Linked DNA regions of Drosophila melanogaster. The protein of the gene in region 2 binds, or shares a complex with, the protein of the main gene of each other region. Each region holds a gene or a part of one and is shown on either strand. Other genes may lie near its edges.

Region 1 (5,223 bases), on a different chromosome or scaffold from region 2:
CGAAGTAAGTTGGACCATTAAAGATGTCTCGGTTTAAATCATTCAAAAAGACTGGGAAAGGGAAAACGCAGATTTTGCTGCAAACAAACAGCGGGACTACTGCACACTTTTCCCAGACACATTGAAAAAACCGTGGTTAAAAATCCCAAATGTAAACTTAAATCTACAGAGATCAAAAGAATCAACAGACTTCTCAGCGATAACGGATTCGACAATTATACTTTGAATAAAGTACATGTTACAATAACATAAGGGGACCAAGTAACGTTTTCGATAACGTATCCCACATCTTAATCAGCTGTTCCAAGTACAACACTTTCCAGCCCTGGAAAAATACCAAGACATCAACCATCTCTCTAAAAACGTAAACATAAACGCTTAACAAGGCATCATAGATTTTCTAGACCAAATTAAAACAAACCTATAAATCTTTCCAACCTTCCTTGGCACTTTCCACATACACGACCAAATAATTCCACGACATTTACGGAAGTTACCTAAAACAAAAAAATACACAACCTACAATGTGTGCATTTACGAATTTATTGGTTTTGCTGTTATTTGCGAAATTACAAGGTATTACACTAATTAAAAATTTCTAGACGATATAGAGAAATCCAAAGTCAAAATTGTACTAATCATAAATATTTGCACAATGCACGCGGCCAGTTGCAGTGTAGCTATAGTCCTAAGGTGTACATCCCCTTCCACAGTTAGGAGCACTGAACATCAAACAGCTCGCAAATACCTTCGTCGCTTTTTAACGCAAAGTTGAAGTCTTCCTGCGGAGGATTCAGCTGCAGCAGCGGCGGGTTTTCTGCAACATCGGACAGCATCAAGTTAAACAGGGGGTCTTTTAAATTGGCAAGATAAGAAGACAAACCTAGATTCGGATCATCGGGATAAAATCGCCGCAGCGAATGACCGGACAGATAATTTTGGAAGATTATCTTGGCCGTCAGCTCGTTCTCCAAAAGTTTCATCTCATCTTTCATCCCGGGATTGCACGAGTAACCGTGCTCGTCGGTGATCACGTTCCCCGCGCATGCTGGAGCGTTACCATCCTCGCTGGAGTGCGACGACGTCGAGGGTGAGGGCGTGTCCAGACGGTGATAGTCAAAGAACCCATCCACATCGTGCGGATTTGTAGTACTCTTTCCTTGGTTCGTCACCAGGCGAATGTCAATTGCGCTGCCATTGTCCAGCGACACGGCCAGCTCGTACTACAAAAACAATGTTTCGTTTGAATCCCATATTATACGATAAATTTAGATATTTCTTCGTTGAAAGAAATGGGAAACCTCGAAAGCTAGTTTAAAGAGCTCCGACTGGTAAGATACCTACATGATTACGCTTGATATCTACTTCCTCGTCATAATTAGGTATTGTGAATACGGAATCATCTCCAAAGATGTCCAGCAGATCATCACGTGTCACATATGCATACGACCTATTCGAGGGATCCTGCATAACGTAGCGCAGATTGCGCTGTGCATACTCCAGTTGCCTGTCTAGGTCATCCTCCAACATTTTCAAATGATTAGTCCGGCTACGTGCCAGGTCGTAGTTCTCTTGGTCCTTGGCATTGTTAAAGCCCCCTCCGCTGGAAAATGCACATTATCAATAATTTATCAAGAAATATTTATGTGGAATCATACTTTGAAGATGATCAAAGTAAATTCCACCTGTTTGTACTGTATTAAGTATTAAGTGCTAAAGGGCGACTTCCACCCCATTTTGTTTAATTTTGTTGTCACTAACATTTTTAGTTCTAACTAAAATGTTTCATAAAATGTAAGGGGCTCTTACCGCCAGCGCACTAGGGAGCAGTGTCTGCCCTTATCAATTAGTCCAATGCCCTCTAAAACATTGGTAATATCGTATATTCGGCGCTTCTGTACGTCCAAGATTTTGGTTGCCTGCAGAGGGGAAATTTGGACGATGTTAAGGTAGAGTACTTAATGCTTGGCCGTGTTAGTACCGCTTTCAGGTCGATGGATCCTTCGTTGGCCTTCACGAGATCCACAAACTTCTGTGTGAGCAGGACCAGTGAGCCCACGGAGCGCTGTTGTCCAGGCTGCGATTGCGATTGTGAATTCGACGGAGACTTGATTGGCGTTGGAGGATCCGGTGATGTGTCCATGCTAACGGGTGTAGACTCGTAGCTCTGCGACCGGACCGAAGTCTCAGCCGAATCCACCTTCATCATCATAGCCGAGGAGGTGGTGCCCGCTGCGGAGCTGTCTCTTTTAACAATACTCGCGGTTTTGCGCTTGTACATGGTCCGCAATCGACTCGATGACTATACTCCTGTCCTTGTAACTCTTTGCGTGGCTGCACTCAATATGCAGCGATCAAGAAGCCGGAATTAATTGCACTTTGGAGCGAAAATTAAACGAAAATACGAATGTTGGCGCTAGGTTTGCTTTCCGCCATTTATGTCATTTTTTTCATTCTCCCTCTATTCTTCGTGCGCACTGCGCAGTGTGGCAAAGCGACGCTGCCACGACGATAGTAAATCGATTAATCGATGCTTGCGCACATTTCAACACTATATTTTAAACAGGTAAACATTTTTAATATTTTGATCTTTAATTTCAATTAATTTTCATTTAAATTCTGTATTTAGTTTAGTCTGCAGTCCAACACACAGATCATCCAATGTTTTCTACTTGGTCTTCAAATGTATCATCACGAATAAATAATAATTATTTTAGTACTCCATAATATTTAGCCATTCGTTAAGGTTTATTGTCCGATAATATTGGCGACAACTTTTAAATGAAATTGGGTCTTTTTTAGGTTTCAAATTAAAAGCATTAACCCTTTGAAGGCGCCTGTGCTAGTCTTGATCGTTTACAGAGCATGTATAGCACAGCTGGAAGTTTTCTTAAGAGTGCCCATGAAGATGGAGTTGAGCTTGTTTGTCAGTAGGGTGAATTTAAAATTTTAAAAAGATCAACTTGATAACGAAGGATTGTTTTAACTTTCAACAGTAATTTAAATATTTACTTTAAACATCGCATAAACACGAGGGCGCGCCACGTTTTCTAGCTAGGCTGAACGATGATTTGCAGCACTGGCTTTCCCCATTTGTTGTGCTCGGTCATTCTGCTTTTGAAAAAAATTAAATGTGCCTGATGGTTTCGCCCTAGTTTTTAAACTCAAAGGACTTCTACTATATTAGATTCAAAAATAAATAAGGAAAATGCCATCCAAATCAAAGCCGAGACTTTCGCGTGGTGTCCTGGACATGAAGTTCATGCAGCGCACAAAAGTTAAAGTGGAAAAGGAGGCAGACGATGAGCAGAGCAGGGCACTGTACTCCAACGAGATCAACCAGAAGATGCTCAATTCCACCTCGAATTTTGTGGTGGAGTCCAGCTACTCGATATGCGCCGGCCTGATAGACGGACGCCTCAGTTTCCGCGGCATGAATCCGGAGCTAGAACTTCTCATGGAGCAGGATCTGGCGGAAAAGCAGGGCCGCACAAGGCCGGAGCAGCCCAAGGAGGTATCCGACCAAGACATGGTAAAGGCTTATTATGCCAACAAGGCGCCCACGGTCTCCGGCAGCATGAGCAAGAAGTTTAACACCAAAAAGGACTTTAAAAGGAAGCAAATCGGCGGAGATAGTGATAGTCCGCATGCCATGAAGAAGCAGTACTTTAAGAAACCACGCTCGGGTGACGAATAGTTTACTACTTAGTTGTTACACTCGTGACTTAGCTTTTAGTTAAATAAATATACGAATTCAATTGTACTCGCGCTGTGCTTGTTTCACCGCCTGCAAGGCGTAGCACATCTGGTTGTTGTTGATCCATCGCCAGGTGTTGCTCCAAAAGTCGTAGGTGCTTCCATTTACCAACACCGTCTGACAGTTCACTGCAGATGAACGAGAGAATAAAGAATAGCCTAATCTGAATATAAAGCCTGAGATAAACTTACTCGTATCCAAGATGCGCTGAACGTCCAAGGGCGAAATCATTTTGTCCCAGTGGTGCGTTCCCCTGGGCACCAGATTGAGAACATACTCGCTGAGTAACACGCCACCGAACCAACTGGGTATGGTTTTGTTCAAAGTGGTGATAAAGATGGATCCTCCAGGCTTTAGGCTGCGTACACTGGCCTCCAGCAGGGACACTTTATCTTTGACGTGCTCCAGAACTTCAGACACTATCACCGCATCATAGCATTCGCAATTGGCCTTGGCATGCTGATCCACCGGCTCAATTTTGTACACCACATTGCTGGCCAACTCCGGACTGGAGCATTTGAGATGCTCGCGAGCAGCTTCTATTAACTTCTCGCCAAGATCTATGCCAGCCACCTGGGCACCCAGGCGCGCCAAGTGTTCCGTAAGCAATCCTCCGCCACATCCGACCTCCAGAATATTTTGACCCAACAACACTTTGGTGGTATTTACGTAACCTGGCTTCACAGTGCCACGCGAAACGATGCCATCTCTGATAAAGGGAACCCTGAAAGGTGGAAAGGAACTTAGCTATAAACCTTTGGAACATCAAATCTGTATAGCTTACCTAATCTCATTCAGGGCATGTAGAGCACCCATGGTTCCATTTTGATTCCACCACTCCGAGGCGTGATTCTCATGGTGCCGCACTTCCTTTTGGGTGCCGGCATCCAACGACTTCGCTGTGCTGCTGCTTCTAGTCGAATTTCGCCCGATAGAACAGGATAGCAAATGTCTCAGTTTGCTGGAATGCAAAACTGTAATGTAATCTACTTTTGCAGTCTATTTTTTGACTTACCCGCTTACTAACAAGGCATTTCGCATCATTTTTGCGAGAAAAACAAACGTTGATAAACAAAAACAGCTGACTTTGTTTTGCTGCCCGGCGAAAGCATGGGCGTAGCCAGGTGCATTAAGGGGGATTGACAATTCTTGAATATTAAACAATAACTATTATTTGTCATTTTTAAACACCCATATTGTAAGGCATTATAGTACTTTCAGGTACTTTTGTTCAGGTAAAAATTTAAATATTAATAAAGAAAATGAATATAAAGAAAATAAAGGAGATGGGGTTCTCCACACACGTCAGTTCCCAGTTGTGAAATGTAATGACTGTCAGCAGGAACCAATGGAATGGAGCACTCTTTTCAGTTCCGATCAGGTTAGTTCTTTCCATTGTTCTAGCGCCTATCAAACAGAGAGCCGCGAGCACTATCAATCACCTCCCGTATCGATAAGGATAATCA
Region 2 (5,467 bases):
GGGTCCTCTCTGCCAGCGAGTCGGGTGAAAAATCCGGAGGAGCCGGGAGGAAAATCCCCATTGGTGCCGATGCGACAGCATCACTCGAAAGTGACGCGCCCACCCCCGCCGCCGACGCTTTTCCTGGAAAACTCACTGCTGCAGCGCCAGTTCGCGAATCCAATTAGTTACTTGGGTGGACCGCGTCTGCAGCCGCGCAGTAATCGCACCAGCATCGACTCGATATTATCGCTGGATTAGCACCGCAGCCAGTTTCCAGTTCTCCGCCCACTGCAATCCGTGGAAAACCTCGCCGACTAGTCACAAACTGTCAACTGGTGGGCGGGAAAACCCCCAGTGGATCCTTTTCTCCCCCCCAAATGCCACAATCTCCTCAACTTAGAAACTCAAAGTTAAAATCTTAAAAATTGTTAGCTAGTCCTAGTTAAAATACAAATAAATTGTTACAAATTATCGTTTAGTTTGTTACTAAGAAACCTAAATGTGGAAACGTAAGTATTTTGCTAAAAATGGGAAATCGAATACTTCCAAAAGAAAATATTTAAAAGATAGCAGCTCAATTAATTTTCCATTAAAATTAAAATCAATAAATGTATAAATATTTTTATTTGATTAAATTAGTTTCTGCGTTATTCGCCACATTGGATCGCTTGTAAGTATGCATTCACTTTTTGCTTAGCTATACACTTTCGATCTTAAAATAAATTGTGTTTCCGCCCACTGATTACTGATTTATCCCCCTTTGGGAATATTCCCACTGAAAAAAAGGAGCCGATCGCAGTGGGACCTTGTGTAGGGGCGTGTAGAAAAAGCCCTGGACATGGCTACGGGGCGTGTTGGTGAAGGGGGGCGCGGGAATGAGACGACACTAGGTGAAATCCGGTGGCTTGTACTTCGGCGGTCGCTTAATTGGCTTCTATAACCAATTGCGGCCGCCACGTCAAATGTTGTTCTCCTTGGCGCCCTTGGCCCCGGCACCGGAACCTGATCCCGAACCGGATCCGGCATTAGCTGTCGCTCCGGCATCATTATCGCTCTTGTTGTTACTGTTGTTGTTGCTATTGGTATTAGACGCCGTCGATTCCTCGCCATCAGCTCCGTCGCCTGAAAACAGCATAATGGTTTAGTTAGTAGGGTTTAAATACAAATTACAAGTGGTCAGTAGAACCAATTAAAATGACTAATGGTTAATCACTCACCCTTTTCCTTTTCGTCCTTGATCTCGCTGGACGTCTCTGAGGATGCCTTGTTGCTGTTGGTGTCCTTGTCGAGACGCGGCCGCTTCCGCTGACCCTTGTACGAACGGTTATCCCTGCGACCGCCTTCGCCCTCATCCTCCGAATCGGAGTACTCGTTCTCGGGCACAATGCGCTTGTCCTTGTCGCTCTGCGGCAGGCGATCATCCTTGTCGACCTTGTCCTCGTCGTCGGACTCATCGTTGATGGCATCCTCGGGAATCGCTTGGATTTGAACGCCCGGAGCGTGAGGCAGCATGCGCAGGTTCTCGAACAGACGGTTCTTGATCTTCTCCAGGTACTCGGATGTATTCTGATTCGTCATATTGCTGGGACTAATGTGCAGCTTAAAATCGGGCCCAAAGTACTCGAAGTAATCGTTGTAGGGCAGTTCGTTGGCTATCTCCACGGCCAGTGCAACGGAGGTCTCATAGGTCCAGCAGCGGGATACATTACGAATGGTATAACCACCACCGCCGACCATCAGGAATGGCAGGTTATATTTCTTCACGAACTCCACGCACTTGCCGTGACCCTTGACGGTGAGATTGAAGCAGCCTAACCGATCGCCAGTCAGCGAATCGGCGCCACACTGCAACACCACGGCTGCCGGCTGGAATGTTTCCATCACCTTGCTGATAATGGGCACAAATATGCTCTCGTACGCATCATCATCCATGCCATCACGCAGGGGTATATTCACCGCATAGTACTTTCCCTTGCCGGCGCCAATGTCTCGCAGATCGCCAGTGCCCGGGAAATACTCTCCGTACTTGTGGAAGCTGACAGTCATCACACGATCGGTGGTATAGAACGCCTCCTCCACGCCATCGCCGTGATGGACGTCTATATCTATGTAGAGAACACGCTGATGGTATTTAAGCAGTTCCAGAATTCCCAGAACAATGTCGTTGACGTAGCAGAAGCCCGAGGCTTCCGATTTTTTGGCGTGATGCAGCCCACCGCCCCAATTGATGCAGATCTCCGAGGCTTGCTTATTCAGTTTTACGGCCGCAGCTACGGATCCTCCGGCGGAGAGTTGGCAAAACTCGTATAGTCCATCGAAGACGGGACAATCTTCGCCGACATTGAAACGCTGCATCTGCTTGTTGTACTCCGACATGTTGTCCGGCCGAATGGATCGCAAGAACCGGACGTACTCGTCCGAGTGGAACTTGGTCATCTCATCGGCAGTGGCTTTATGGGGACGCTAGAATAGAGAAATTCGCGTTTAAATCTATCATATATATATATATATCTATCATCACATATTAATAAAGTAACTCACGTATATTTCCATTTTTCGATAGAGCCCATAGTTGAGCAGCAGGTTGTGGGTCATGCGTATGCGATGGGGCTTCATGGGATGACCCTGGCCATAGTAGTAGTTGCCAATGTCGCCTATGGATCAAAAATCGCAATTATGAGCACGTTGAAAAAGTAATTATTTGCCACGCTATGTGGAATACAAATTTTAAGGCCACTGTCGGCGAGGCGTCTGCCTGAGAGCAGCACTTTTTCCGAACGACCGCAGTAGTAGCACTTTCGCCCCGAACGAAAAAGCAACAAAAACACACAGAAGAGGAAGATAGACATCAGGTACATACACACACAAACGCATACAAACGCACTGCGGTCGTATGGAAAAAGTGCGCTGTGGACCGGAACGCGCTCGTACAGTCGCCGTAAAACTTGAAATTTGCAAAAATGCTATCATCTGATGCTAAGTGGATGCGGAAAAAACACAAAGTCGACATGGTAACCCTAGCTGGCACTTTGTAAACACAAATTACCCATCTAGTAGGCCTTTTACTTCCATTTAAATGCTCAAAACTTACTGTCGTAGTAGTAACAAACGCGCTTTTTGCTGTGAGACTGCATTTTGCGGTGCTGTTGGCGGGTCTTAAATCCCCTTAAAGTCGATGTTTTTCTATCCTTCGTCGATCGGATGAACTTGCGAGCTCAGAAGATGGTTTACTTTGGTGCCGGTCCGATTTTTGGCACTTTGGCGCAACTATATAGCCAAAATCGGAGCGCACAAGACAAATTCGCGAAGAGGAAACCTCTGCAGATGGGCAGTGTGACCGCGGACTTTTTTAAATCCACACTTCCCGGCTCTGCAGAATATACTTTTAATACTAACTGCATGAATACCGAAAATACCAAACAAATATATTTAATTATTTATTAAAGAAATATATTTAATAAATTTACATATGAAATACGATTACCCTCTTCATACAGAGTGGTCATTTTTTATTAGATATATAAACAATCAGACCTATGTACTTATCAAAAATTATCAAATATCACGACATATTTTTTGGAAAAATAGCAAGGATCAATTATAAGTTTATAAAGCAAAGTTTATTGGCTAAGATCACGTTGCAGAGTCTGAAGCTGGAACTAGAGATGTTGTTGGAAAACATTTAAGTTTAAGCATTCGAATAAACTAATTGATTTCAATATTTTCTATACAAATATAAATGATTCATTATAATTTAAGAAAAACAAAAACACAGAAGTAATAGGTTGTAGTCCGGGGTAAATAATGTTAAGTCGATTAATCGATAGGAATCCATGCTAATATCGAACTTGGCCCATCGCCAGAGGGTGCATTCCCTCTCTCTCTTTCAGAGCATCACCCATCTCGCTCTAAAATCCACCGCAGTTTCCCACGATTTTCCTTCTCACTCTAAAATTCACCGTTGAACGACTCGGACGCGATTTTCCAGCGCGGGTGATTTTCCTCCTCGGTCGGCGTTTTTCGGCGGCTTCTTATCGACAAACAATAGTGCTCAAGTACAACGAGATTTTGTAGTGTTTTGGAGTTGCTGAATTAGAGGCGATTGTTAATTGAATAAAATTAATAAAACGGCGACGCGTAAGTTTCCAACTCCCCCATGTGCAAGTGTGCGTGTGTGCCCTGTGTGTGTGTGTGAAAAAAGAGAAAGAAGAATGGAGTTGCAGTGGAAACACAAACACGCTCTCTCGCTCCATCTCCCTCGCACGCACACACTCACTGGGCGAATGAAGAAGTGGAAAAATTAAAACCGAAGTAAAGTGACAAAGCGAAGTGGCCAATAATGCAAGAAAAAACATATGAAACCCGCAGTGAACATTTAAAACAAAATTAACATTTTTCATAGGCGGCTAAAATATCCTGCGCAGCTTTTCTCTTTCCGACTTTTCTCTTTTTCCCTTAAGAGTCTTTTCCTATGCCTTTCCCCCTCGGAGACCAACGCCTCTCCTTCGCAACTTTCTGTTACTTTATGTTAACTTCTCCCCTTCTTTCTCTTGGTTTTCCTCCTGTATTTTTCTCTGTTGTTGTTGCTGTGCCCGCAGGATATTTAAGACCTTTTTTTGCTGGCGTTTAATTATAGTTTTCATTGCTCTCTCTCCTTCCCGCATCTCTTTTTCCAATTAGCGTCGAAGTTCGGCGTAAAGTAAACAGCAAAAATATAGTATTTGTTGTTTTTATTTGGCCCGCAGACCGTGCAGTAAAAACAACAACTTTAACAGGCGTAACTGTAAAGTCCGCTTTGCTTTTGATAGCAAATAAAGAGAATCGGAATCCGCAGCAAAGTTTTGATTTATTCTAATTAAAAAAGGTAAGTGCGATATAAAACCGGATTATAGCTCCTTTTCATTCGCACCTCCTTGGCCCGAAGTGCCGTTAGGAAGAGAAGCCAATGAACGCAAATAAGTAAACACAAAAACTAAAAAAAAGAGTGCTAGATTTGCTCTCCCGCTGCATTTCTATTTATGCTTCTGTGGCTGATAATGTGTACAGTGAAAAGTCGAAAGATGAAAAAATAATGAAGAAATGGAATAAAGCTTAACTTAAGGAATCTTAAGACTTGTTGTTTGTTATATTTCGACACATACTAACCATTTCTTCAGGCTTCTTTGCGCTTAAAAAAATACCCAATTGGAGTAAATTTGAAAAAAAAAAAACATTTCAAGCTTTATGATAATTTGGTTCTAAAAATTTATTTGCAACCACTAAATTGTGTTTGGTTCACTTTATCGACGGTCTACCGTATTTAGTTATTGCTCCGGCTGCTGTAAAAAGTCAAAGAGCATTTGTTGTTGCTGCTATTGTAATTGCTTCCAATTTGTGGAGAGCCATTGGATGACGAGTGAATGGGGTTGGGGAAGGGAGATGGAAAGAAGAAGCTCAAGAGCAGCAGGCGTCGGCGCAGCAGCTGCTCCTTCTCTCTCTCTTCCTC

The links.
Region 1: HDAC1 (region 2) and E2f2 share a complex: the UniProt entries of both Drosophila melanogaster proteins name them as parts of the DREAM complex.

What each region holds. Positions count from the first base shown.
Region 1 is NT_033779.5:21,153,763-21,158,985, forward strand, and holds E2f2 (E2F transcription factor 2), read right to left. Parts: upstream 2,988-5,223; 5' UTR 2,282-2,987; coding exon 1,982-2,281; intron 1,920-1,981; coding exon 1,810-1,919; intron 1,604-1,809; coding exon 1,345-1,603; intron 1,224-1,344; coding exon 884-1,223; intron 818-883; coding exon 714-817; 3' UTR 531-713; downstream 1-530. Other genes in the region: Mpp6 (M-phase phosphoprotein 6), read left to right, coding at 3,209-3,697; Coq3 (coenzyme Q3), read right to left, coding at 3,755-4,481, 4,542-4,718, 4,773-4,801. UniProt on the Drosophila melanogaster protein: Transcriptional repressor that binds to E2f sites and represses E2f-regulated target genes. Binding to E2f sites requires transcription factor Dp. Acts synergistically with Rbf2 to antagonize E2f1-mediated transcriptional activation.
Region 2 is NT_037436.4:4,624,589-4,630,055, reverse strand, and holds HDAC1 (histone deacetylase 1), read right to left. Parts: upstream 3,323-5,467; 5' UTR 3,117-3,322; coding exon 3,074-3,116; intron 2,637-3,073; coding exon 2,524-2,636; intron 2,446-2,523; coding exon 1,200-2,445; intron 1,105-1,199; coding exon 941-1,104; 3' UTR 589-940; downstream 1-588. Other genes in the region: axo (axotactin), read left to right, coding at 1-240. UniProt on the Drosophila melanogaster protein: Catalyzes the deacetylation of lysine residues on the N-terminal part of the core histones (H2A, H2B, H3 and H4).